Stegostoma tigrinum: one gene and its partners. The protein of the gene in region 3 purifies or fractionates together with the protein of the main gene of each other region. This does not show direct contact. Links are inferred from orthologs where the notes say so. Each region holds a gene or a part of one and is shown on either strand. Other genes may lie near its edges.

Evidence for each region.
Region 1: the proteins of axin1 (region 3) and ppp2r5a purify together in Homo sapiens (affinity purification with western blotting; 3 studies listed by BioGRID and IntAct, with this or other methods). This does not show direct contact. The link is inferred for Stegostoma tigrinum from reciprocal best matches to the Homo sapiens genes AXIN1 and PPP2R5A.
Region 2: the proteins of axin1 (region 3) and segment polarity protein dishevelled homolog DVL-1-like purify together in Homo sapiens (affinity purification with western blotting; 3 studies listed by BioGRID). This does not show direct contact. The link is inferred for Stegostoma tigrinum from reciprocal best matches to the Homo sapiens genes AXIN1 and DVL1.
Region 4: the proteins of axin1 (region 3) and amer1 purify together in Homo sapiens (affinity purification with mass spectrometry; 4 studies listed by BioGRID and IntAct, with this or other methods). This does not show direct contact. The link is inferred for Stegostoma tigrinum from reciprocal best matches to the Homo sapiens genes AXIN1 and AMER1.

What each region holds. Positions count from the first base shown.
Region 1 is NC_081362.1:54,688,781-54,695,714, reverse strand, and holds the start of ppp2r5a (serine/threonine-protein phosphatase 2A 56 kDa regulatory subunit alpha isoform), read right to left. Parts: upstream 3,013-6,934; 5' UTR 2,355-3,012; coding exon 2,195-2,354; exon of another isoform or gene 1,752-2,194; intron 1-1,751. UniProt on the Homo sapiens protein: The B regulatory subunit might modulate substrate selectivity and catalytic activity, and might also direct the localization of the catalytic enzyme to a particular subcellular compartment.
Region 2 is NC_081381.1:27,493,831-27,501,620, reverse strand, and holds the start of segment polarity protein dishevelled homolog DVL-1-like, read left to right. Parts: upstream 1-4,780; 5' UTR 4,781-4,877; coding exon 4,878-5,047; intron 5,048-7,790. UniProt on the Homo sapiens protein: Participates in Wnt signaling by binding to the cytoplasmic C-terminus of frizzled family members and transducing the Wnt signal to down-stream effectors. Plays a role both in canonical and non-canonical Wnt signaling.
Region 3 is NC_081376.1:42,034,845-42,042,363, reverse strand, and holds the start of axin1 (axin-1), read right to left. Parts: upstream 3,003-7,519; 5' UTR 2,842-3,002; intron 1-2,841. UniProt on the Homo sapiens protein: Component of the beta-catenin destruction complex required for regulating CTNNB1 levels through phosphorylation and ubiquitination, and modulating Wnt-signaling.
Region 4 is NC_081368.1:33,312,826-33,319,833, reverse strand, and holds the start of amer1 (APC membrane recruitment protein 1), read left to right. Parts: upstream 1-4,003; 5' UTR 4,004-4,098; intron 4,099-7,008. UniProt on the Homo sapiens protein: Regulator of the canonical Wnt signaling pathway.

The DNA of each region.
Region 1 (6,934 bases), on a different chromosome or scaffold from region 3:
ATTATTTCAGATGACAAAAAGTTTGGTCAAAGAGGCAGTTAAGTCAACTCTTAAAATATGGCAAGTTAGTGGAGGTATAGGACCAAAGATGAGAAACCAAGAGAGTTAACATAGAAAAGTCAAGCAGATTAGTATGAAGAAGCTTTTCCAAGGCACTGTTGCTGTCAGCAATTTCAAAGCAAATACATAAGAAAAGGAAATATTGTGGGTCCATTCAATCATAGGAAATCAAAAATGACAAGTGAAAGCTCACCCATACAAAGTTAATGAATATATGATGCTGAAACATACAACCTGCTTTACTTGAAATTACAACAAGGAAATATGAATTAATTTTTAACCACATTGCTGTTCTAATTGACAACCAAAGGTCAAATATTTTTATCCTACTAGTACCATGCAAGTACAGAGGAAATAGCACTTCGGCTGTCCAAACTTGTAGATTTAAATTGCACTTTTGAAAACTTAAAATGGTTTCCCACTCCCACCCATTGAAACCAAGTTGAACATACTGTACATGCTTTGCAAGTAAATCTCCAACTTTAAGATTGACAATTTAAGCAAAATAGGTACAGATCAGTCTCCTACAGTGACAACAGCGTCAAATATGATAATGAATTTTATAAAACTAAATGAAAATCAAGTAAATAATAAAGCACTATAGTGAGTTTATAAAATTCTGCTACACTAGTGTAGTGAAACTATGCTGCTTCCAATTACTCAAAACAGCTGGTACACATCAAATGGTTCAACATACCAAATAGAACGAGAAGCAACAAACTAAAAACAATTCATCAATTCTACCATACGCGTATTTGAATATCAGAGACAGTGTCTTGATTGCTCACCATGTACTGAAACCCCCAGTACTTTATTTTGGTTCTTCAGATATACATTTGAATATTAAGAATATAAAAGTTAACAAATTTGATGTTGAAGACTGCTAGACTAAATTTATTTCAAAGAAGCCAAATGTTTCAAATCACTGGATCTTCACAGGTGAACTAACACTAAATCAACACCTTTACTATAAAAAGCAAGCTTAAAATGACCAGAAACAGAAGTCAGAGAAATTAGAGAAATCAGAGAAATCATTGAATTTCAATACCTCAGTAAGAATTAGAAATACATTTCCTGAACTTCAATTCTACTGTGGACTGGATGGGTGAAGGATTTGAATACCTGATTGAAGTGCACGTGAAGAGTTATGAAGGATAATACTTCAGGACATTAAATCGCAAAAAAAACTTTACAGAGCAAGTTAGGAATCTTGGTATCAGTCAAATTGATTGGGAGCTAAATTTATTGATCACAGAGGCCAAATTTGTGAATGGCAAAATCATTTTTGAACTGTTTTAATTTTATCAAAGCTGAATTAACATATTCACCCTTGTGCTATTAGTTTGACAGTGCAAAATAATCTGAATTTCATGCTTGCGAAAGATAAATTTTGATGAGCAAGTAGGGGATTGGGCATTATTTCTAAATAATAAAAGATTTATAGACAAACAAAGTGCAACAGTTTTGTATTGATAGGTACGTGATTAAATTGCCACCAGTGAATAGGAATAAGATTGAAGACTGCGATATGTACATGTGTGAATATGCGAAGTCTAAACTTCAATACTTTCACGGATGAACGAAAGTGGTATCTGAAATTTGATGGCCGATGTTTTTGTTGGTCTCTCAATTCGCTGCTGTGCAGAATCGGATACTTTGATCGGTGACACGGTGATCTCTGGACTCTTAACCTCACTTTTCTGATGAACACCGATGCACCATGATACTTCGATGTGTGACTACAGAAGGGCTCTATACCTTGATGTTTTGATGGGCGAATAGGGACAATCTTTGAACCCAGATAAATGAATAGATAAGTGATTTCTAAAGCTCAGTATTTTGACGAGTCAGTTGGGGGGCAGACGGAAGAGGAGCAAGAGGGATATCGCCAAAACTCGGCGTTATTGATGCGTGGTAGGTGGTGAGCCGGAGTACCTGAAGCTTTATCTTGATGAGCACGGGACATTTTTTTGAACCTTTGTATTTCAATGCGTGAACGTTGGGTAAATTCCATCCCTAATATTTTAATACGTAAACGGAGCTGGTGACGGGAACTGGACATTTTGATGGATGCCGGTGGGAAAGACATTTCTGCATGGTTAAACCAACAAGGATAACCCAGGGATCTAGGTACCTCTGAGGGGTGGAAGAAGCAGGATCTCGACCGGGCTGCTCCGACTCCTGAACTGCGACGATCCCTGCGACCTCTTCTGCCTGGCCGCTTTCCGCACGGATTTCCTGGTGAAACCATCTACTTTTTCCGCCGCTGTCACCACTGCCGCCGCTGCCGACATCTTCTTGAAAACACACTGGCGATCACACCGGCAGAAAAATTAGCGGCAGCGGGCGATGAGCTGCGTGTTTGTGAATTCGATCCAATACAGGATTTAAAGTAACCGTCAGGGAAAAGGATGGGGGATTGAAGAGCGTGGGGGTGAAATTATACTTTTTTTTAAAATGTGAAGTCGATGATACGGTGAATGAAGTTAGTGTTGGCGGCGAGGGCCGGAGCTCTGTCCTCTAGCCCCCTCGAGGCCTGCTCAACAGCGCTGCCGCCACCTCCCCTGCCTCCCCACTCCCCGGGGAGTGGCTGTTAGTCGTTCCCCCCCTCCTCCTCGGAGCCTGAGCTAATACGTTGTCAAACCCCGCAACCTGCCGCTGTCGCCTTCACTCGCCGCCGTTCTCGGTGCGTCCATCAACAGACGGGCCAACAGACGCCTCCCGCAACAACAACAACGACGACGACGACGATGATGACTTTTTTTCCCAATAGGCTAAAATCGTTCAAGGTTGATCGTGGCTTTAAATTTAAAAACACGGACGCGTTTTATTTTAAAAAAGGGACCACCAACTGTCGCCACCTCCCTCGCGCTCTCCAAAACACACCAATTGAGTTGGGACTCAACTAACACTGTTGAGCGGAAATGTCGGGGGTGTTGTTTTTGATTGGCATGCCGCTGACCAATCATAAAGGGAAAAAGACTCGCCTAAAATAAATTGACGGTGACGTTGACGTCATCAGAACAATCAAAGTGTCTCAGGGGCGGACCCAAACGCTAACTACAATGTTCAGTTGACGGAGGCCATATTGCTTCTAGGGCAGGTGATAAGGAAGGCTGACGTGATTGGCTGTTCGCGTGTGATCGGGTTGTGTTGTTGTGGGTATGTGAAGGTATTTGTGTTTTGGGAGGAAACGTATTTCTTCCCTTTCAACTTATAAATATAGTGTTTTGTCAGTATTCCGTCATTTGAATTTTTATTCGCTAAAGTATTTTGCACTATATTTATGAATAGCATCCTTATTGCTATCACTGATTAAGGTTAAATCTTTAAAAATGCACAAATCTGCAACAGTATTTTGTTTACTTATGACATCCCACATTTGTGATTCCTCGTTGGCTATGTCCTGTATCAGATTCATATATTTTACCTTTTCAAAAGATAATATTACGGATGTTTGTGAATTTTGAAAATTAATTTCCAACAGTTAACAAATAGCTGAAAAATGGTTGATGAACACAGGCACGGAATATTTATTTATTATTTACATTTGATAGATAGAGAATTCAAGGTGACTTTTAAAGTGTTTGCCAATTTTAGGTGACCTTTGATAGAGAATTAACTTTATATTTAGAATGTTGAATTTTTAATTCTAAAAGTATAATTAAAGATGCTGTAATAGTGTATAAAGTATTGCTATGAGTAAAAAATGGATTTATTTTAGGAAGCCCACAAAACAAAAATAATAGATTTAGTCCAGGTTCATTTAGAATTAACTGAATGTCTGCATTGATGACCTGCTAGTTCAGATTCATAGTTATAATAGTCATCTGAAAATTATTATTAATTGATGTTACTATTGTGCTGGATAATAACATATAAAATACAAAAGCAGAAAATTCCAGAAATACTCAGGTTGCTCAGCTAGCATCTGTGGAGAAGAACAATTAATATTTCCGGTCAATAATCTTTTAGAATTAATCTGATGAAAAGTTGTTGTCTCCAAGTGTTAAATGTGTTTTCTGTCCACATTTGTTACCTGACCACAGAATTTGAACCATATTCTAGAACATAGAACATTACAGCACAGTACAGGCCCTTCGGCCCTCGATGTTGTGCCAACCTGTCATACCGATCTCAAGCCCATCTAACCTACACTATTCCATGTACATCCATATGCTTATCCAATGATGACTTAAATGTACTTAAAGTTGGCAAATCTACTACTGTTGCAGGCAAAGCGTTCCATTCCCTTACTACTCTCTGAGTAAAGAAACTACCTCTGACATCGGTCCTATATCTTTCACCCCTCAATTTAAAGCTATGCCCCCTCGTGCTCGCCGTCACCATCCTAGGAAAAAGGCTCTCCCTATCCACCCTATCTAACCCTCTGATTATTTTATATGTTTCAATTAAGTCACCTCTCAACCTTGTCTCTAATGAAAACGGCCTCAAGTCCCTCAGCCTTTCCTCGTAAGACCTTCCCTCCATACCAGGCTAGTAAATCTCTTCTGCACCCTTTCCAGAGCTTCTACATCCTTCTTATCATGCGGTGACTAGAACTGTACACAATACTCCAAGTGCGGCCGCACCAGAGTTTTGTACAGCTTCACCATAACCTCTTGGTTCCAGAACTCGATCCCTCTATTAATCAAAGCTAAAACACTGTATGCCTTCTTAACAGCCCAGTCACCCTGGGTGGCAACTTTCAAGGATCTGTGTACATGGACACCGAGATCTCTCTGCTCATCTACACTACTAAGAATCTTACCATTAGCCCTGTACTTTGCCTTCCAGTTACTCCTACCAAAGTGCATCACCTCACACTTGTCTGCATTAAACTCCATTTGCCACCTCTCAGCCCAGCTCTGCAGCTTATCTATGTCTCTCTGCAACCTACAGCATCCTTCATCACTATCCACAACTCCACCGACCTTAGTGTCGTCTGCAAATTTACTAACCCATCCTTCTACGCCCTCATCCAGGTCATTTATAAAAATGACAAACAGCAGTGGACCCAACACCGACCCTTGCAGTACACCACTAGTAACGGGTCTCCAGGATGAACATTTCCCATCAACGACCACCCTCTGTCTTCTTTCAGCAAGCCAATTTCCGATCCAAACTGCTATATCTCCCACAATTCCATTCCTCCGCATTTTGTACAATAGCCTATTGTGGGGAACCTTTATCGAATGCCTTGCAGAAATCCATATACACCACATCAACCAGTTTACTCTCATTTACCTGTTTGGTCACCTTATCAAAGAACTCAATAAGGTTCGTGAGGCACGACCTTCCCTTCACAAAACCGTGCTGACTATCCCTAATCAATTTATTCTTTACTAGATGCTTATAAATCCTATCCCTTATAACTTTTTCCAACACTTTACCAACAACTGAGGTAAGGCTCACTGGTCTGTAATTACCAGGGTTGTCTCTACTCCCCTTCTTGAACAGGGGAACCACATGTGCTATCCTCCAGTCGTCTGGCACTATTCCTGTAGACAATACGGTGGCAATCTTCCTAGTCACAAGCGAGCTGACATCATATGTTCAAATCCCCACCCGGCCAGACAGCACACCCTGGCTGGTATTAAAAACCTAGGTCTGTTTTTTATTTTAGATTTCTTTAAAGTTTCTTTAGTATTTACAATTCTTATGAAATGAAGGAAAAATGTGAAATTAAGCCAAAATACTGAAAACATAAATTAGTAGCATCTGTGAAGAAGAGAGCATGTTTGGGTTTCTACCGTTGATCTTCACACCACAATACAAATTTAAGCACATCAAATGCCTTGATTAGGAATCCAATCTTTTCAAAAAGGAACTAATGGAACCTAAAGAGATTTGGGAATACTTGTGCATGAAACACAGGAAGTTAGCACACAGTTGCAGCAGGAAATCACTAAGGCTAATGGAGTTTGGCCTTTATTTCAAAGGCGTTGGAGTATAAAAGTAGGGATGTCTGGCTGCAACTGTACAAGGTGCTTGTAAGACCACATGTGGATTACTGTGAGCAGTTTTTGTCGCCATATTTTGGGAAAGATATTTCATTGGGGGTAGTTCAGAGAAGGTTCAAAATGATTCCCAGTATGAATCATCTGCCTTATGAGCGAAGGCTAAACTGGTTTGGAATGTATTTACTGCAGTTTAGAAAAATGAGAGGTGATTTCATTGAGATATATTGTATTCTTAAGGGACTTGACTGGGCACATGTTGAGAGGCTGTTTCCCCTTGTTTATTGACATTGTTTACACATGTCCAATTAGCTTGCTTGACCTGTGCTGCACCCAAAATGCAATTTCTGTTACATGAGCACCATATTTCATTGGTCTTTCCAAAAATGTAATCATTTAACTTCCAGAGGTAAATTTTGCCAATACTAAATTGCAAACAAAAGAAAAACTGTTTTAGAGAGTGTATAAAATGTTTAGTTGTAAAAGAAAATGCTATGACGGTCATAAAATTAAAAACTTTCTATTGATAGAATCCTGGAAGAGCCCATCAAGTCTGCACCCAACTCTGAAGAGCCTCACTGTCAACAGCACCAGCCTCTATATTCATAATTTCATATTAATTTGCTTGGATTTTCTACCTCTGGTTTCTCAGTCCTATATCTCCCCAACTCCGCTTGCTTTACTTCCTCAAGGGATGACTTGAAATCTACACTGACCAAGCAGGAAGGGCCACTGGACCCAAAACGTTAACTCTGATTTCTCTCCACAGATGCTGCCAGACCTGTGGAGCTTTTCCAGCAATTTCTGTTTTTATTTCTGACCAAGCTACTTGCTAAATCAGTGTTTGATTGATCAGAGGATTCAGAGTAAATATGTTTCTGCAAAGCTAGGACTCCTAAATCTAATGGTCCAAT
Region 2 (7,790 bases), on a different chromosome or scaffold from region 3:
CATCATTTGTCTGAACTTCGGCAAAAACAATCCCAACTTAGTCAATCTTTCCTCATATGTCAGTCCCACCATCCCCAGAATCAGCCTGGTAGGCCTTCATTGCAACCCGAAGAGCATCCTTTCTCAGAAAAGGAGACCAAAACTGCACACAATATTCTAGGTGTGGCCTCACCAAGTGAATCAAATTGCGTGAAGACTGACATCTGCCATGTTGGGAATTACTGAAGGAGGCCAAGATGGATCACCTATTCAGCTTTTCTGGCTGAAGACTGGTACAATTGCTTCAGCATCATCTTTTGCCCTGATGCGCGAGGCTCTATCATTATTGAAGATGGAGATACTTGTGCAGCCTCCTCCTTGAGCCAATTTTTTAAATTGTCCACCACCATTCATGACCGAGTGTGGTAGGATTACAGAGCTTAGCTCAGTTGTAGAATCGCTTAGCTCTGTCTGTCATTTGCTGCTTGTGTTGTTTGGCACATAAGTAGTTCTGTTTTATAGCTTCACCAGGTTAACACCTCATTTGAAGGCATACCCCCCTGCATTCTTAATTGCAGTAGTTCAGGCGCTAACACTGTATGTATCTTTCAAGATAGTTTGGAGACAAAGTGAGTTGCAGCCAGGACAATGAGAAGGAGTAGGTGCTAGCTTGCCAGAAGGTGTGGTTTATAGTAGATTTTGCTTCAAAGGGCTTAAATGAGGACTTCAGTTGGGTAGCCTACAGAATACTGAAGGGTATACACACTATGCTTGATGCATTAGAAAGCTTACCTTCAATATCAAAGAGTCCAGCACCACCATCGCACAGAGTATTGTGCAGGCTTGAAGCTTCTCCTTTCCAACATAGACATGTGACCAATTCTGTTCACACAACTGTGGGTCCATATTATGCAGTATTGTTTAGCCGATGACATAGCTTCCCTTGTAGCACAAGGAGCACCTGCCCAATGTGTGTGTGTTGCACTAGAAGGTCACATGGCTGTCGTGCAAGCTCAAATTGTTGCTGCCATGACTGGGAATTGTGGTGTAACAAATGATTTGGTGAGCATCTCAGCAGTCCGGTGATCTATTTTCTGACAGGCTATTACTATTGCTGAGGCACTACTGGTCATGAACAATGCCACGAATGAACATCCCTTGTCATCTAGGTGCCACCCAAGCAGCCAATGTAGTAAACATGTTGAGACACCCAAGACTACTTCAGAGTGTTACACAAGTGGAAGCCATCCCATAAATTAACATGCCCCTACCTTTGTTATCATCCATCTTAGAACAATTACAGGTTTTTGACTACGGGAGAAATTTTCTAGTCGGTATCCCCAATTATGATGTCAGATGCTCATAGATAAATCTACTTTCACTATCGAAATCTACTTTCCACTGTGCAGCTGCCTCGACTGTGTAACACCTTAATGTGTACATTGCTAACAGATATGGTGCCTATGTTCCACAGTTAAATCTTATTACAATGGGACAAAAGGGCTAATTACCCTTTTAATGACCTTAATTGGCAACCCACTGCGACAGGACAAGTAGCCACTGATGCTGGAAGTCTGTCTTTGGAAAAATTCACAGTGGTGGGAAGCTACCAGCAAGCCAAACCAATGTGTCATGATTTAGATTTCCACAACTCCATCTCTGCTTCAAGGAGCTGGCCAGAGGCCAATCAGGAGGAACATACACAGCCATGACAAGTGGGCAGGAATGAAAACACAACTGGGTTTCTCTCACTCCATCCTCCTTGCTAACATATCTAACTCTTCAGACATAAGAGATGACAATGTGTAGAGCTGGATGAACACAGCAGGCCAAATGCATTTCTGAAGAAGAGTCTAGGCTCGAAACATCAGCCTTCCTGCTCCTTATGATGCTGCTGGCCTGCTGTGTTCATCCAGCTCTACGCCTCGTTATCTCAGATTCTCCAGCATCTGCAGTTCCTGCTATGTCTTCAGACAGTTGGATTACAAATGGCTGATTAAATCAATTCCCACAGAAAAAGGTATTCCAATAATATTCACAGCATTTTGTATGATTTAATATAATTGTAAAATGGTGACTTCCTTACACAGTGATGACATGCACGTGGCAAAATGACCGAGATGTGTGTTGGACTGCCGTCCTGGCACCTTCATTCTGAAATATGCTCCTGGTCCTGCATTCAAGCCCAACTCCTTGTATCCAAGAAGATTTCGCCCGGGAGGAGTAAACAAGTCGTGCAAGTGTGGCTGGGGTGGCCATGGGAGGCATAGAGAGGTGATGTTAACACGGAAGGGTGGTCTGATGAGGGGGTGTGGACGCAAGAAGGTTGAGTGGGAAGTGGCTCTGCAGATTGGGTGTTGCATATGAGCACAGGACAATGGAGTGGGGAGACATGATACTGGGAGATGTGAGATATGAGATAACAAGGTGTACAGCTGGGTGTACACAGCAGGCCAGGCAGCAGGAAAGCTGATGTTTCTTTCAGGCCTAGACCCTTCTTCAGAAATGGGGGGAGGGGAAGGAAGGGAGTTCTGAAATAAATAGGGAGGGGGGAGGTGGATAGAAGATAGAAGGAGAAGATAGGTGGAGAAGAGACAGACGGGGATGGAGCCAGTAAAGGTGAGTGTAGGTGGGGAGGTAGGGAGAGGATAGGTCAGTCCGGGGTGGACGGACAGGTCAAGGGGTCGGGATGAGGTTAGTAGATAGGAGATGAGGGTGGGGCTTGAGGTGGGAGGAAGGGATGGGTGGGAGGAAGGACAGGTTAGGGAGGCGGGCATGAGCTGGGCTGGTTTTGGGATGCATTGGGGGGAGGGGAGATTTTGAAGCTTGTGAAGTCTACATTGATACCATTGGGCTGCAGGGTTCCCAGGCGAAATATGAGATGCTGTTCCTGCAACCTTCGGGTGGCATCATTGTGGCAATGCAGGAGGCCCATGATGGACATGTCGTCTGAGGAATGGGAACGGGAGTTAAAATGGTTCGCGACCAGGAGGTGCAGTTGTTTAGTGCAAGCCAAACGTAGATGTTCAGCAAAGTGTTCCCCAAGTCTCTGCTTGGGTTCCCCAATGTAGAGGTGGCCACAACGGGAACAGCAGATACAATATACCACATTAACACATGTGCTGGTGAACTTGGGCATGGCGGGGGGTTGGGGTCTCTCAGGGAGGGGTGCTCTCGAGGTGGGTGTTGTCGGGAGGGGGCTCTTTGGGACGGCGTTATGAGTAGGGTACTCTCAGGGAGGGTACTATCAGGTTGGGAGGGTCTCAGGGAGGGGATGTTGCGGGTAGGGGGCTCTCGGTGGGAGGGTATTGCAGTGAGGGGGCTCTTGGGGAGGGAGGTGCTGTAGGGAGGGGCGGCTCGTAGGGTGGGGTGTGTTCTGGGGAGGGGGCTCTCAGGGAGGGGATATTGCTGGAAGCGGGCTCTTGAGAAGTGAGTGTTGCGCAGAGGGGCCTCTTAGGGAGGGGGGGTTGTTGCGAAGAGGGGGAGTCTCTTGGGAAGAGGGAGTGTTGCACGGAGGGGGCTCTCAGGGAGGGTGCTCCCAGGTATGGGCTCTGAGGGGTAGGGTCGTTGTGGATTGTGGGGTCTTGGGGTGGGGCGGTATGGCCGGGAGGCTTGGGCAGGAGTATTTTAAGAAGATGGGGGCTCGCAGGAAGGTGGGTGTTGTGGGAAGGGTCGCTCTCAGGAAGGGAGTGTCGCGGGGAGGTGGGTTGTTGCCGGGAGAGGGGTGTCTCAGTGAGTGGAGGGGCTGTTGCAGGGAGAGGGCTATCGGGTTGAGAGGAGGGTGTTACAGGGAAGGGGCTGGTGCGTGGGGAGGGGGCTGTTGTTGTGAAAGTGCTCTTGGTTTGGGGGGGTCTCTTGGGGAGAGGTGGTCTTGTGGGGAGCAGCGTCTCTCGTGGGGGAGGAGGCTGGCAGGAAGGGGTTTAACTCGGGTGGGAAGAGGTTGATCTCGAGGGGGTGGGGGCTCTCAGAGAGGCGGGTGTCTCCCGGAGGAGGGGGCAGTTGGGGGGATGATTGGTTGTGGGGAGGGGGCTTTCGAGGAGCGAGGTCACTTGGGGGTGGTACTGTCAGGGGGGGTGTCTCGGGAAGGAGGCTATTGGGGAGGGGGGTCCTCGGGGAGGGTGTACTCTCGGGGAGGGGGAGGCACTGTCAGGGAGGGGCGTCTGTAGGGTGGAAGGGGTCTCTTGGGGAGGGAGGGTGTCTATTGGTGTGGGGAGTAGGCTGGCAGGGAGGGGGTTCTCTCAGGGGGAGTAGCTGTCGGTGAGGGGGTTCTCTCAGGAGAGGGAGGGGGTGTCTGTCAGGGAAATGGCTATTGGGGAGGGGGTTGTCTTGGGGTGGCAGAGGGGATCTCAGGGAGGGGGATCTCAGGGAGGGGGTTTCTCTCGGGGGGTGGTCTTGGGAAGGGGGTTTCTCTCGGGGAGGGGGTTTTCTCAGGGGGTCCCTCGGCGAGGGGGGATCTCTCGGGGAAGCGGGTCTCTCATTGAGGTGGTGTTTTCTCAGGGGTCTCTCGGGGAGGGGGGTCTTCTCAGGGATGGGGGTCCCTCGGGAACGGGGGGTCTCGGGGAGGAGTGTCTCTCAGGGAGGGGGGTTCTCAGGGAGGTGTGTTTTCTCGGGGATGGGGGTTCTCTCGGGGAGGGAGGGTTTTCACGGAGAGGGGGTCTCTCGGGGAGGGAGGGTTTTCTCGGGGAGGGGGGTTCTCTCGGGGAGGAAGGGTTTTCACGGAGACGGGGGCGGTGGTTGTCGGCGGGCGCCGAGTGGGCCTGTCCACTAGGCCGCGCTGTTGGGTTTTGACATTTCCCGGTTTTCCCACATCCATGAGCCGGTGAGACGGGAGACGGAAGGCGGGTGGGAGGGAAGCGGGTTCGCCGCTGGGTTTCTGACCCTCCCCCGCCCCCCCCCCGATGGCGGAGACGAAGATAATTTACCACATGGATGAGGAGGAGACGCCGTACCTGGTGAAGGTGCCGGTTCCACCGGACAGGGTCACTCTCGGTCATTTCAAGCAGGTTCTCAACAACAGGCCGAGCTGCAACTTCAAATTCTTCTTCAAGTCCATGGACCTGGACTTCGGGTGAGTGACCGGTCGGGTCATGGTCAGTCTCAGGCGGGTTGGGTGTCCGGTGGGACCCGGGGGGGTCTCCGGCCGTTGGGTGAAACGGGGCAGATGTGTGTCAGTGCACGAAGGTGGAGTACCCACTGGGCTGTTGTGAGGGAGGTTCCCGCTGCTTGGTATTTGCCCCCCTCGTGTGTTTCGGGCGTAATCTGTTTCTTACTTAACACCCCCATTCCCCCCGGACCCGTCCTCCCTTCCGCCTCCTTTTTCTAAATAACGCCACTTGCAAGTATTTTAAAACCCCATTCATTCGATTTGGGTCTGGGTCTCATGAACCATATTGCTGCTGCATTTGTTTACATAACATTGGCTCTGCTAAAATTATGTTACCACGGAGGAGGCCGTTTGGCCCTCTGCTTTAAGCACTGATATTTAGCTGAGGCAGCCCAGAACTTCTAACTCAGTGTTCCCCCCTTGTCCTTCAGTGCCTTCCTTCAAATATCCATTCAGTTCTGCTACAGAAAATGCAATGGTTAATCTCTTAAACACTTCCTCTGTCAAAGCATTCCACACTCTCAACAGCGCAAAGAAATTTCTCTAGACTTCCTTCCTTAGCCTAATACTTTTAAGTTAATAGCCCCTCAGCACTAATTTAGGTTTTTCAGCATCAGAGACCTTCTTCCATCTTAATTTTAATCAAAGCCTTTATATTTAAAAGTCACAATTAAATATGCTCATGGTCTTTCCAAGAACACAATGTAGCACAAGAACAGGCCCTTCAGCCCACCAAGCCTATGCCGATTCACAATCCTTAGCTGGAATTATTGCCTACACATGGTTTCTATCCCTGTTTGCTTCCCATTCACGTATCCATCAAGATACACATTAAACATTGTTAATGGATAGTAGGAACTGCCGATGCTGGAGAATCTGACGTGACAAGGTGTACAGCTAGATGAACACAGCAGGCCTAGCAGCATCAGAGGAGCGGGAAAGCTGATGTTTCAGGTCCGGAACCCTCATTGTTAACATGCCTGCTTCCACCACTTCCAATGGCAGTGCATTCCAGGCACTTACCACTCTGTGTGAAAAGGTTTCTTCCCACTTTTCCCCTGGAACCTGTGCCCTCATGTAGTTGACCTTTCCACCCTGGGAAAATTCCTCTGACTGTCCACCCTATTTATGCCCCTCATAATTTTGTGGCGCTCATCTCTCAATCTCCGTCTTTCCAGTGAAAACAATTTGAGTTTATCCGATCTTTCGGCGTAACTAAAATCCTCCTGATCCGGCAACATTCTTGGTAAACGCTCTCTGCACCCTCTCCAAAGCATCTGTCTTTTTGGTAGTGTGGTGACCAGAACTACATGCGATATTCCTTTTGTGGCCTAACTAAAGTTTTGTACAGCTGTAATTATAAACTTCTCAGCTTGTGTATTCAATGCCTTGGCTGATAAAGGCAAGATTGCTGTCTGTCTTTTTCCCCACATTATCTACCTGTGTTGCTACTTCAGGGATCCGTAGATCTGTATGCCCAGATCCCTCTGTTAGCACTGTTATGGGTTCTGCTGCTTATTGTATAATTCACACCTGAATTGATTTTCCAAAATGCATTACCTCACATTTGTCCAGATTACCATCTGCTGTTTCTCTGCCCAAATCTGCAATCTATCTACATCTCACTGTATCCCTTGACAATCCTCATTATCTGCAATTCCACCAATTTTGATAACACCTGCAAGCTTACTTATCAAACTATTTTTCCTCCAAATTATTTATATATATTATAAACAACTAAGGTGCTGGCACTGATCCTCTAGAACATCACTAGTTACTGGCCACCATTCCAAAAAGTACCCTTCCACTGCTATTCTCTGACTTCTATCTCCTAAGCCAGTTTTGTATTATTCTAAGATAACAAAGTGTGGGGCTGGATGAACACAGCAGGCCAAGCAGCATCTTAGGAGCACAAAAGCTGACGTTCCGGGCCTAGACCCTTAATCAGAAAAAGGGTCGAGGCCCGAAACGACAGCTTTTGTGCTCCTAAGATGCTGCTTGGCCTGCTGTGTTCATCCAGCCCCACACTTTGTTATCTTGGATTCTCCAGCATCTGCAGTTCCCATTATCTCTTTTTGTATTTGTATTATTCTAGTCAGCTTACACCAGATCTCATGAGGCTTTACCTTTTGTACCAACCTGCCATGAAGTGGCTTACCATGTAGACAATATCTATTGCCATTCTGTCATCAATCATTAAGTGGAAACAATGTTAGTATCTGTCGTCTCACTTCATAATTATAATCTTCCATTTCTGACATTATTCTGTTTAAATTAATGACCTGCATTTATAAAGCATATATCCTGACTTCAGGGTCCTGAAGAGCTCTAAAATCAATTAAGTACTTTGCAGTCAATGTAGTATTAAGAGGAGGCAATGGCCTTAGTGGTATTATCACTGGACTGTTAAACCAGAGAGCCAGGTAATGTTCTGAGGACCTCGGTTCGAATCCTGCCGCGGCAGATGGTGGAATTTGAATTCAATAAATATCTGGAATTAAGAATCTAATGGTGACCACAAAACCACTGTCAATTCATCTGGAAAAGCCCATCTGATTCACTAACGTCCTTTAGGGAAGGAAACTGCCATCTTTACCCGTGTCTGAAGTGGCATGTAGTCCAGAACAAAGCAATGTGGTTGACTCTTAACGCTCCCTGGGCAATACATGCTGACTTAGCCAACAATACCCTCATTCCCATGAATTGA
Region 3 (7,519 bases):
CACCAGCTGAACACATTCCTGCTCAGTGGACTTTGCCATCTAGAACCAGGCAACCACCCACAACCATCCAGGCACCCCTCTGATACACTGATAGTGCTCTTTGGAAGCACAGACTTGCATTGCAAGATGCACCAGATACTGGCCCTGAAAGGTGCAGGAGGGACATTTTGAGCACAGGGCTAGGCCCCTTACTGGCAGTCTGGACCAGGCTGCATTGTAGGAATGCTTGCTGTCTCTCTTAGTGATCACTTACTGCCTACTGCCATGCAAGTAGCATCCATGCCTTGCCTTGCCATGCCAATTCATGCAGTCACCCAACAAGCAGGTTGCCTTGCTGTTAATGCAGTCCTCAGCCCAGGGGGAGCCACATCCTGCTGTGTGGCAGTGTGCCACATCAATCTCATAGCTGCACCATGTGCCTGCAGCTTAGCTGGCAAACTGATTGAGTGTGCAACGAGCAGACAGACATGAATCCAACTCTGAGAGGAGCAGTGCTCACAAGAGGCATTTGTTAGGCTGGCCCAGTACACTGAGTCAAACGCAGCCTCCCATTCAAGTCCAGGAGGTTGACCATGGCCAGGAGTCTGATCAGGGGCTGGGGGCCGTTCTCGGGGAGTGGACACAGTCAGTAATGCCAGGTTCAGTCAGTAGATCTAAAACGGTCGGGGAGATTTACAGGCCCCAGTCAGGGATCTGGGCACATCTTCTGTGTGGCTGTTGGATAATGTGGGTTGAGGGGGGAGGCTTGTGGCCAGTTATTTGTATTCCATTCATAGAATGTAAGGGGGAGGCGGGACAAGTGTGGGTGTAGCCATGGCAACGAGCCTCGGCAACAGATTCATTGGGACTAAGGGCTGCAAACTCTTGTCAAGGGTCTACTAACAATAGTGAAAGTGGGGGGAAGTGCTGGGTGGTGGCAGATGAATTTGCAAGGGGTGGAGGAGACAGTATAGTATTGCTGGGAAGGGGGTTATGCGGAGGGACAGGGTGGTTGGGTTTGTCCATGGACAGGAGCACTCTGGCTTTAAGGGAATCACACCTGGCATGGTCACTATATGCCAGGGGCTGGGTGGGTAGGTTAGGCAGTTGTAGCTGCATTTAGGTGGGTTGGTTTGGGCTTTGGGAAAGTGTGGAGCTAGTAGGATTCTCTATTGGGAAGGAACTGTGGATGTTTGGGATGACACAGTAGGCCTGAAGCTTGTGGCTATGGAATGAAAGAGCAAAGGAGAAATATGGCACAGGAACAGGCTCTTCGGCCCTCCAAGCATGTGCCGGTTATCATGCCCTAACTAAATTTTAAAAAACTTTTGCCCTTATTTGGTCCATATCCCACTGTTCCCTGTTCATGTAACCATCCAGATGCTGCTTAAATGTTGCCAATGTGCCCGCTTCTACTACCTCCTCTGGCAGTGCATTCCAGGCTCCGACCACACTCTGCATGAAAAACTTCACTCACGCATCTCCCTTAAACTTTCCCCTTCTCATCTTGAACCTGTGCCCCCTTGTAATTGCAACTTCAACCCTGGAAAAAAGCCTCCACCCTATCTTTACCTCTCATTATTTTGTAGGCTTCTATCAAATCTCCTCTCAGCTGCCGTCTTTCTTGCGAATTCTTCTATTCCATGCACAGGCCAATGAAGGCAAGCATGCCATATGACTTCTTAATCAATTTGGCCACTTATGGGCATCTTTTTTGGGAACTGTGGACTTACATGCCCAGATCCATCTGTATGTTAACGTTCCTAGGTGTTCTGCCATTTACAGTATAATTCACACCTAAATTTGATCCTCCAAAATGCATCAACTCGCATTTGTTTGGATTAAACTCCATCTGCCTTTTTTGTGCCCAACTTGCCAATCTATCTATACCCTGTTGTATCCTTTTACAATCGTTGGCACTATCAGAAACTCCAGCAATCTTCATGTCATCTATAAATGATTTGACCTGCAAGGGAGGGGTCAGAGGCAATCAGTGATCAAATGGTTTATAAAGGGGTATACATTGGCCTCGAAAGGTAAAGCAGACAAGTTGCTTCCAGCCAGGCTAGCTGACAGCATTGAGCCTCTCTGTACATTACACCACCCTCACACAGCCACTGGTGGGCAACTCATTGAGCTGTACACCTTTGCACACAGAGGGCTTCCCTCACTTCCAGATGCATTGGGCTCTCAGTACAGACCTCTCTCCAGGAGCCTCATCTGTGGCCATGAGTCATTGCTGGTGTGAAGGTGCATTACACAGATGGATTCGCAAACACATGGAAGGATGTTAATAATATCTGAAAGTTTCATGGACAATGTACTATTTACAGAAAAGCTGTCTTCACTGGGGCAGCCAAAGTGCCCTCAGGATATTTTCTTCCTGCTCTCTGTCTCACTGTAACTCAGTGCGCTCCCTGACTCAGCAGTGGAGCCCATTGTCCCTAGAATTTTGGTGCAGCAAACTTCACAATGCTTCAGCCCGGATGGCCAGGCACGCGATAGAATTCTTCCCAGAGGCAAGGTGACCCTCCTCGGCTTATACCTCCAAGGGTTGGAGGGACAGGCTGTCTGGAGAGAGAGAGCCCCTTCAGGGCCCTGAGTGTTATCTGCCTCAAGGCCAGAATACAGGTCCACCACCATCTGGGTGCTCCTTGGCCACCGGTCTATCCCCTTGTGAAGACGGGAACCTGGACTGGGGTAAAACCCCACACAAACAACAGCCCCCTCCCCTGCTCGCCCAGGATCACGTTCCTGTTTACTGACACCACAGGGACGTCTCCTGCTGAAAGCTGAGCAAGTGCCAAGTCTCAGGCCCACTGCTGAGTGCCAGATGCAGAGCTGTTGTGGCTAGGTGCTTACCAGACAGTGAAGCCACACACTGTGTGCCTATAGTTCCCGCCAGGGGATTGGTATCTGAGATGCTGAGGTCTTCAGGATGCTTCCTCTGAGGCCTCCATACTCCCATCCCCAGAGATTTAGGAGGGTGATTCTTCCACTACCAGCCATTGGGAGGTTTGCAGAGCCTGTAAGACAAAAGGAAGAAAAGACCAATGGTTGGAAGAGGTGTGCAATGACTGAGAGTGACAGTGTGCCATTGAGACAGTGCCATGCCATGTCATTCCTACTTCATTTGTTGGGACATGACTGTGTTGCATCCCTGCAGGAGGCAGTCCTGGTTGTCTCCTGTGAGGGTCAGGATTTTCCTCCCATACAGATTGGGACATGATATCAGGCACTGTCCCCCCGCCTGTGGAATAGGCTCTACCTGCCCCGTTGTGGGCAGCTTTCCCGTGTAATGCAAGGAGAAAGGTGGGAAGTGGTGGGGCAAATAAGTGAGGTAACAATGGGTATCCCAGCTAATAGTGCAGGCAAAAGGTGTGCTCTGAAAGAATGAGGAGGCAGTGTGGACGGTGAGTGGGCAAAGCTGGTAAAGGAATGTGTTGCAGGCAGCGGCGAGTGTGGTGGGGTATGAACCTTGGCAAAAGGAGCCTGCAGTGGGACTGATAGATCGTGTGTGAGGTGGCAGAGTGTGGAGGCGTGATGCAAAGAAGGTCATTGACCTTCTTTCTACATTCCTGGCCATTCCTCCTCACCCTGGAGCGGGCACTGGCATGGGTGGTGACCTCAGACCAAGTTGGCAGTGTTTGATGGTGCTCCTTCCTTTAGCGATCCTCTGGGAAGAGGGCACTTCTTGCTTCACCATCCTATTCACCAGGACTTTGAGGTCCTTATTGGACAATCAAGGCGCCAACTTCCCCTTCCCTGCCATGTTCCGACTCTGTCTGTCACTGGGCAGGGCTGCTTTGGAATGTCAAAACTGCCTTTTACAGATGGCAAGGAAGCAAAAGGTACTAGCCTCCACTGGGTGGTGAGTTTCCTGGGAATGGTGCATGGTAAGATGGGCAGAAATTAGAAAGCGATGCCTCAGGGGTTGGGCGGTCAATTAATGAGGCAGGTTTGGTAAGCTAGGATGAAAACCCATTAAAGGGTTAAAAAACCAGTTAAAGTAAACTCATGGCTGAAAAACCACGAAAAAAAAACTTGATGCAACTCAGACTTGGCCAAAAAAAATGTACAATAAATCTGGGATAAAAAGTTGATCTCAGTAATGATGGTCATGGAACTACCAGACTGTCATGAAAACCCATCTAGTTCATTAGTACCCTTCAAGGAAGGAAGTCACTGATCCTTTCCCGTTCTGGCCTACTCCAGGAAGGCAGAAATTCTTAACATCTCTCTAAGACAGTGTAAAAGCCACTCGATTGTATCATAACTGCTGCAGGAATTAAGTCACAAAGGATGTACCTACACCTCACAGACCACAGGGCTTTAAGCAATGGCTCATCATCACATTCTCATCGCCAGTTAGGGACGGACAATAAATACCAATGATTCCCAAAATCTGACAGTGAATAAAAAACACCGCACAGTTGGAGCCGCCACTATATAAAGGTGCGTTAACTATTATTTGACCACCTCCCCAACAGAAGCCCTGATCTCCCTACAACCCCTTTCCTGTTTCTTGCTAAATTTGCATCATTTATTTCCTGTAAGTATGTTCTTCCATCCTGAGCATTTACAAAGATTCCTGAAGAGAAAATGGACCAGTTTTGGCTCAATCCACCCCTCTGGTACCAACCACAATGATCTTGGGACCGATGCTTCCTTCACTTGTTCCACTCTATCAGAAGGACATTAAATTCTTTCAAATTAATTTTGTCGTATTTTCTCTGAGTATCTGCAAGCATTATGGGTCAGATCTGTGATAAACCTTGGCCAACACAGACCATCATCTTTGAACAACAAACAGTGTCGAGACTTTTCCATTGGAGAGAAATCTACTTGGGAATAATTTCCTCAAAAACAATTTCCTCTTTTACTGTTTGAATCAAAAGGCGTTGTGGCAAGATTAAACCATTGTGTCATCAACTTCAATGAAGCATAAAATTTTCCGCTTAAAATTAAAACAAGGCCAAAAGAAACCTGGACATTGCTGAGCTGGAAGTGAGTGTTATAAAACAAAGGTTCATTCATGCGCATTTAATGTGTATATTAATGCTTTAATTCTAAGATTCAAACTAGCTAGTCAAGTAAACTTACTAATAGTGGCAAGTTATTCTGTACTATTTTGGATTCAGACCCCATATGAAGTGAATTATTAAATTCAAAGCGTAATATTGTATGTGCCTGCAGAATTGAAATCAAGGATCACATTTCTACCCACCACTTGTTCACCAGGGAACAGATACCTGTTTTAAAATATCGCAGGGTTTACATACAGGAGCTCTCCAATTCTTGTGAATTTTCCCCATTGCCTAGTAAAAAGTTAGTGGAAGGCTGACAGCATTCAAGACAAAATCACAGAATAATCATATCATAGAATGGTTACAGCACTGAAGGAGACCACGTGGCCAATGCAGGGATATTAGGATGTGGTTTCATGCTGTTCAGAATCCAGATTTCAACAAAGAAGCCTTGGCAAAATTAGAAAGGATTTAATGGAATAAAAGGAGCTGGAGACTGATTCCTAGTGCCAGAAATCTGAGGTAACTGGAGAATAGAATGTGGCTTTAATTTTAATGTCTCCCACATACCCCATTCTCCTTGGGCGTAGGAGAGTTTGGGGAGTTGAAAGTCAACCTTTTCTAAAATGGATTTATCAGTAGTGGCAGGGGTAATGTTATAGGGGAGGTGGCTATTGTGTTTTGTCTGATGATCAGTAAGTCAGCATAACTCCGAAACAGATATTCATAGATCTATATTGTCAATTTGATAATTATGCAAACAGGTTAAGAAAAACTTGCAAGATTAATATTTTAAACTTCAATGTAACTTTGGAGGTTTGACACCTCTTCCTGATCGAGTGATTGTTACCCTGTCTGGAGAGGTGCAAATTGCTATCTGTTCAACTTGTTTGACATCTTGATTACCTTGCTGCCAGTTGCCATCACTCAACATCACCAGACAATGACCAATTGGAGTGTTTTTCCTTATTCCTTTTGTGCCTGACTGGTATGTTGTATGGAGCTGGCTTATGTTCTGTCGCAGCGTAGCACCATGATCAGTGATGACTTCATGTGATTTGGGCTGGTGGCACATTTTACAAGCCATTGCTAGCAGGTCTTCGTATTTCTATCTCACATCTTCCGCCCGGTGTGCACCTTTGGTAGTTCTCTACCTGTGTACTCGTGGTGTATCTTTTCCATTCTCCTCTGTCTTTGTCTCACATCTTGGAATGGTTAGAAAATTGGTTGTTGGGCAAAGTTGTTCATATTTTTCTTTCAAGCATAAATTGTGCTGGGGATGGCAATCTCTATCAGTGTTAATATGAAAACGCATCAGCACAATGTGAAAATTTTGATTTGAATGTTAACAATTTATCAGCATTGATTTGGTAGTATATACTAACACTTTGCTAGGCCACTTGAGCATGGATAATGGGGTGGTGATGTGATGTGGGTCACTCCCCACTTTGTGCATGTTTTGAAATGGTTTACCAGTGAGCTGTGGTCAATTGTCAGATTCTGTCTAGTCCATGATGCTGAATAAACTGAAAATAAAACTCATCCTGTAGATCAAGAGGAACATCTTGGTCTTTGTGTGTGTTTGATAACCTGCTGAGCCCATCAGATGTAATCATCCTGGTACCCGGCTTCTTTTTCACTTTGAAGAGATTCCCTTGCACATTGACATCTAGAAACTGTGACCACAGCAGTGCATGCATTAATGGTTCGTGGCAGATCATTTCTAGTGGCTCATGATCTGTTTCAAAGGTGAACTTCCTGCCGAATAACTAGGTATGAAATTGCATTATGTAGAATAGCAGAGCTAATTTCTCACACTCAAATTGGAATCGTTGGCTTGGGCAGGCAACAGGTGCTTAGACGTTTTTGCAAAGCATCCACTTCAAAAATCATGTATTTTTTGGGGTCATACTACTACAGAGGCAAGATTTTAGTGACAGAACTATCTTAAGAAAATCAAAGATGTATTTGTGGTCATTTTAACATTCATAGGGAATGTCCTTCCTGACCTAATCTTTCAGCACAGGCACATTGTCTGAGATGTTGGAAACAAACTGCATCAGGAAGTTCAAAATATTCAGGGTAACATTGCAGGTCCTCTTTATCCTGTAGGGTCAATATTTATTTAAAATCCTTGACATTGTCTAGATCAAGATGGACTCCATGGTGCAGTAAATGCAGCCAAAGATGTTTATCAGCTGATATTGATCTGGAATTTTGTGTTGTTAAATATGTGACATGTTTGTCATGTTACTGCCTTTAGTAGATAAAGCTGTGGTCCTGCTCTGCCTTTGTCTTGCCTACGATTATGATGTCATTAGCATTGCAAACACAATGTCGTACATTTTAATAATCCTTTCTATCCACATGCTGCTGGACCAGGTCTTAGCGAACTAATACACCAAATGGTAATTGGCAGAAAGAGTACCATCCACATAGTGTGTTAAATGTCGTGAGCTGTTGGGATTCTCCTGCTAAATGGACAGAGAAGTATCCAACTGACTTTCAGAAGA
Region 4 (7,008 bases), on a different chromosome or scaffold from region 3:
CTGCTGTCCAGCAGCTGTACATAATGTAAGACACTGGGCTTTCAAGGAAATTAAGGAAATGTGTGGCAAGGTAGAGCTGAGGCATAAGATAAGTCACAATATTATTGAATGGTGGAGCAGGTTTGAAGGGATAAATGGCTCATTCCTGCTCCAATTTCTTAAGTTAATACAAAAGGAAAGATGTGAAGAAATTGAATTATATGAATATAATCAGGTGAAAAAGATTGCTTGATCCTTCTAACCTTGTCCTTCCAAAATGTCAAGTCAAATTTTCCCCTCAGCATCTAGATTTTTATTAAACGAGTCCTACGTTTTGGTGTCAGCTGTCCTTCTTGGAAAGGAAATAATATCTCAAACAACTTCTTTTTACTAGTAAGAGGACTTTGATATTTAAGCCCTGGCACCAAGTTTTAAAAATCTAGTTTTATCTTTACACGAAAAGCACTTTCAAAGTGAATCCCTTCAGCTTACTGACAGTACGTGATTACTAAACTGGAAGGAATGTGAGTTGGTGCATGTCACATCAGGAACACTTGTGGTTAAAACACACAGGGAAACATAAACATATATTCATTCCAGCTAAATCTATCCAAGCAATTTCTCTCTAACTCACATGAGAGCAGTTGGTGGAAGATTCATCAGTGCCCTTCCTTCAATTGCAATCCAACATACATATGCTACCTATCAGCTGCTGCTGATACACCACACCTACGAAAATACTGTTACAAATCTATAGTTGATCGTTCATATACTTTGGATATTACATTTAGTTTTGGGAATTACACTTCTGACACGGGGAATGGGGGCACCTGGTTGGGAAGCTGATGACCAACCTTGGGGAGAATGTAATTCAAGCACATCAAAAATTTTTTTATACTTCAAAGGTTGATGTCATGCTGACTTCAGGGTTTAACAATTCGAAATGCATGATCATAAACAGTAGGCATGCTTATGTAAGTAAAGAACTGGAGATATGGCACCTGCAATTATTCCAATAAAGTATAAATTTATTTCCCTTCCCCCCCCAATGCTGGATACAACATCCTTTCTCAGCCATTTACACTCCCTTTGCCTTTAGTTCTGTGACTCTGGTGGTCTCCAATCTCCCTTGCCCTCTAAAATTCCCATGACATTCTCTTCTTTTAAATGTGCCCCATGGTTCTAGGCTCACCATCTATCTTAAGAATATTGTAAGTTTCAATGAGATCGTCTCTCATTTATCAAAACTCTCGAGAATACCGGCCCAGTTGCCCAGTCTATAGTACAGTTCTGCCATTTCAGGAACAAGTCCAGCCAACCTTTGTTGCACTTGCTCTGTGCAACAGTATCATTCCTGAGTTAAGGAGATGAGAATGGACATAATACTCCAGGTATGATCTAACCAAGCTCCTTTATAATTTAATCATGAAGCAGCTGAAGCAAGTGTGTGATAACAAGGTGTAAAGCTGGATGAACACAGCAGGCCAGGCAGCATCAGAGGAACAGGGAGGCTGACGTTTCGGGTCTGGACCCTTCTTCAGAAAAGTGAGGGGTCTTCGGACTCTTCTCGAAGACGTTTCTGAAGAAGTTTCCAAAGAAGGGTCCAGACCCGAAATGTCAGCTTTCCTGTTCCTCTGACACTGCTTGGCCTGCTGTATTCATCCAGCTCTACACCTTGTTATCTCAGATTGTCCAGAGTTGGCAGTTCCTACTATCTCTGAAGCAAGTGTGTGCTTTTTTTAAACTGCTGTCCTACCACTTTCAATTCATGCACACATACACTCACTGCCTCTGATCCTGCAGCTCTTTTAAATTGTTCCCTTGTTTTACAATGACTTTCCACATTCTTCCTACCAAATGAATCAGTTCATACTTCTCTGCATTAAATTTCATCTGCCCATTCCACCGACCTGCATACATCCCTTTGACATTTTACATGATTCTCCTGGTCGTTGACAATACTTCCAAGATTTGTCCCATCAACAAACTTTGAAATTTTACCCTATATGCCACAGATAGGTCATTTAATTTATCAGGAAGAGCAGTCATACTAATACTAATCCTAGGCAACTCCAGTAAAAATTTTCCTCTAGTCTAAAAAGTAACTATTTACTAATACACCTTTTTTGTCTGAAACTGAGCCAGTTCCATATCTATGTTGCTACTGTTCGTGTTATTCCATGAGCTCTAACCTTGTTCATCAACATCTGAAATTAGAGAAAAAGTAAACTACTCAGCCTCTCGAGCCTGCTCTGCCATTCAATAAGTTCATGGCTGATTTCATTGTGTTTCAAATTCCACAATCCCATATACACTTGATTTGTGTGCTCCCACCTTTACCCTAAAAATATTAAATAACCTCACCTCCATTGCCCTCTGAGGAAGAATTCCAATGTCACTTAATCTTTTGAGAGAGAGAGAAAAATTTCCTCATCTCCATTCTAAAAGAGCGACCACTGATTTTAAATGTAGGCACCTTCATTCTGGACTGGGTAACAAGGGGAAATGTCTAAATAAAAACCAAAAGACCTACAGATGCTGTAAATCAGGACAAAAACAAAAGTTGCTGGAAAAGCTCAGCGGGTCTAGCACCATCCGTGAAGGAAAAAAACAGAGTTAATGTTTCAGGTCCAGTCACCCTTCCGCAGAATGTTTTCCAGCAACTTTGTTTTTGTGATCATTGTTGAAGAGGAAATATCTGTTATTTAGTCCTTTAAACAAACGGGTTGTGGAAGCCAATGTACAACATATCAACAGCATTACCATCATCAAACCTCTCTCTTGCTTCATAATAAAACTCAGATCTGGTGGTTAAACATGATTTTTTTATATCAACTTCTTTAATTAACTTCTTTCTTACCTTAATTAACTCATATTTAACAAAGTGAGCATTAATTGGTTCAAAAATGTTATTTTTAAAAGGTTTTCCTTTACAAAAGGTTAAACTGACTGGCCCATGGTTGCTGCATTTATCTTTGTGCACTGTTTTGTATAAGTGTACAACATTTGCAATTCTTCAACTAAGCTAGGGAAGATTACAGCCTCTGCAATTTCTATTCTCACTTCCCTGTTATATTTCTTAACTGTAATCAATGACTTACCAATCTTTGAACATTTCAAGTATCTACATTTCAGTCTCACTCCCTATTGTTCTTATTTGACCCAGTCTCCCTCCCCATTTCCCCCAATTTGATCCAGTCTCCCTCCCTATTGCTCTTATTTGACCCAGTTTCACTCCCCATTGCTTCCTATTTGACTTAGTCTCATTCCTGCACCTTTTTGGCCCAGTATCACGCCTCTCTATTGCTTCTGTCTGATTCAGTCTAACTCCTCTGCTGCCCCTGTTTCAATCCATAGAGTTCCTACAGTGTGGAAAGAGGCCTGTCAGCCCAACAAGTCTACATGAAACCTCAGCACATCCCACCCAGACTCATTCCCCAAACCCACCTAACCTGCACATCCCTAGACACTATGGGCAGTTTGGCATTGTCAATCCACCTAACCTGCACATCCCAAGACACTTGGGGAAGTTTGGCAGTCATTCCACCTAGCCTGCACATCTTTGGACTGTAGCCTCATTCCTAACTGCTCCTATTTGACCCAATTTCAACTCCCACGATCCCCTATTTGATCCAGTCTCACATCCTAACACTCCCAATTTCACACTTCATTACCCAGTTTTACTGCCTCTTACCCCTATTTGCCCTGGTATTACTACCTATTACCCCTGTATAACGCACTCACTCCCTCGTATCCCTATTTAACACCATTTCACACCTTGTTGCTCCCCATTTAACCCAAATTCACTCTTCATTACCCCTCTATGACCCAATCTCACACCTCATTACCCCAATATGACCGAGTCTCATACCTCATTAACACATGTTTTAGTTGGTCTCACCCAACCATGGGGACTGCCCCCTATTGACCGTCTCTGGAAATGCTACTGGAAATTCCACGGAAGTCCCGCCTCCCGGCTGCCAGGCAAGCGGGCGTGACCGAAAGCTGATTGGCTCCGGTTTGTGTCAGTCACATTGTGGGTGTGGCCAGGGAGCGGAGCGGATCCTGGTCGAGGCCGAAGGACTGGAAGCGGCCCCGGGAATGGGAACTATAGCAACGGTAATGAAAGCAAGGGATGAGTGTGGCGGGGCTCAGTCAGAGTGAACTGCGGCTCTGGGTTGAGTATTGATCCGGCCTTCAGTAGCTGAAGCAGGGTTTAGGCAAGGCCTGAAACCTGGGAATGGCTGTAAGTGACGGATCCTGGCGCTGGGAGTAGGACACACTGGGTGATCCATGCAGACTGGCCTATTCATTACCTTTCACTGTAGTCACCAGTACCTTCAACAAAAAGTTAACAGCAGACCACATTAATGACAGGTTGGCTGTCTGTTGAACCTTCCATGACTTTATCCAAATGAGTGTACTTGGATCAAATAACCAGCAGTTAGATCCTGTCTGCAGGGAGTGTTTTATGCTGACGGTGAGATCTTGTTGGTAGCTCTAGTAACGACATGCCAAATAAACGCAATAGCAACAACATTGTTCTTTGTTGGGAAGGTATCAAGCTACTTAATGTCTGACGGCTAAGGGTAAGATCCTGTAGGTCGCTGATGAATCCCTGGGATTGCTGTATGTTTAGTTTCAATAGCATTGTAATTGTCACTGAATTTTGATCTTAATCTCTCAGCCAGATCACTGCTTTTCTGTTTATAGTGCAATAGTTAATTGTGTTATGAGGTTTATAATATCAACTAAGGGTGAAAAGGTTAGCATATTTGCAAGTTTTAGAGCATTTGATTGTGTTTCAGCTTTTCTTTGAGGCTGGTCAGCCCAAATGTATGCTTGTCACTGGGATGACAGTGCAGTAGAACTATTAGAATATTGTTCTTAGCAAAACAAAAGCTAATCCCTTCATTCATTCTTGCCTAACTATTTGAACTTGTTAAAGAAGTTGCATAAAGATTTGCATGAATGTCAATGTAAAAACAGGTCATGTGGTTGACCATAAGTTACAAGGATGGATTTTCTCTGGTTAGACTAGAATGGTTAAAGAATATCTGCATTGAATTCTGGCCTGTACTGAGCAAGTTGATCACAAGTGGGACAGCCAGTTCAGAGTTGACCTTGACGTTCACTTCTGGGCCGGGGATGGAAAAACGTGTCTGGTATTCTCATCCTTCATTGTCTGACTTGCTGCACTGTCATGTAGCCCCAGCATTACTAAAGTGGGCTGTGCCTCAAGACTTCAGGAGGTACTGAAAACCTCCAAAAGATTCCTTATGCCAGTAGATCCTTTGTCCAACAAGACTTAGTCCAATCAGGGAACAGTGAGAATAAGTTAGCAGAAAAAAGCTCTCAACTGCTGGTTAAACCAGACTATCTCACCTAATTAATCTCTTATCAGGTTGCAGTTGATACTTTCACTATGCGTTATCTTATCTGTTTGGGATCAGAGTCGACCTCCTTTTAAATGTATTAATGTTAGTAATGGTTTAGGCAAAATAAGATTGCACATTATATTGTGGATACAGTAGCAATGGGATTCCTCTCATAGCAACTTCCAAACGACATACCACTCTGTACAAGTAAATAAAAAGGCAATTAAATCATAAGAATATTCAATTTCAAAAGATTTTAAGTCATTTTTTTAAAGGTGGGTATTGCACCTTTTGTGTCTGCATATGGGGTGACTGCTGTCAATGTGACACAAAACCTAATTCTTCACTCAATCTCCTTTACTTTAAGAGAACAACTTCGACTTTCAAATGTAACATTGTATGTAAAACCCCCATCCTTTGCACTATTTTGTTAAATCTCCTTTACACTGTCAAGATTGTTCACATCCTTCTGAAAATGTGGTGACCAGATTTAGATGCAGTACGCAATTTGGGCCAAACCAGACTTTGACTTCTCTGTTTTTATACTCAATACCTATGTTTAGTAAGTCTAAAACAATCCCGTGTGCTTTGCTAACCACTGTCTCGATATGCCCTGCCACCTTCAAAGATCAATGTACCTGTGCCAACAAGTTCCTCTCTTCTTGCATATGCTTTATGACTGGCCAGAGAGTTTCTACTTGCCTCTCCTGCCTGGCAAACACATCATCACCTCACTTTTCTATGCTGAATACCATCTGTCACTTGCCTGGCTATTCCTCTAGCTTATCTGTGTCATTGCAGGTGATTCATGTTATCTCCACTTTGCAAGTCCTCAAAGTTTGGTATTATTGGCAAATTTTCTTCAATGACTTGCATCTCAGAATACATAGTAAATTATGTAGCAAGAAAAACACCTGTCCTGGCATTGATCTTTAGGGAAAACCACTGCCCACCACCTTCCATTCTGATAAATAATTAACCATGACTTGGTACGGAGATTGTAGGAACTGCTGATGCTTTCCTATTAGCTTTCCTGCTCCTCTGAAGCTGCTTGGCCAGCTGTGTTCATCCAACTTCACACCATGTTATCTCATTAACCGTGACTTGCTGTTTTCCTTTCCTTATATTTAAGTTTTATCAAACCTGTCACTAATATTTCTCGTTTTCTCGCCTTGTATGTGTTACTTTGTCAAATATTTTCTTGAAATCTAAAAATACAATATCCCTGCATTCCCTTCATGAACCTTCTGTGTTATTTCATGGAAAAAAAATTTAGTCAAATACAAGATTTACTTTTTATAAATCTGTGTTGACTGCACTTAGTTAATTCAAGGTTGTCCAAGTGCCTTGGTTTAATATCTTGCTCCCTGATTATTGTTTCTAAGACTACTAATGTTAAAACTAGTTGGATGTAGTTGCTTGTGCTAACCTTGCATTTTTTTCCTGAGTAATGTTATCATATTTGCCACAGTTTTATCCTTCTGTATCTCTGTCTTCCAATCATTCCAGGATATTACAATGGGCAAGCCTGTTTGACAGTTTGAAACCCACTTGTTTCAGCAACTTGGGGTGCACCCAATACAGGCCAGGTGACTTATCCACTCTAAGCATAGCCAGCCTTTCCAGTGCTTTGTCCCTGTCAACATTCACC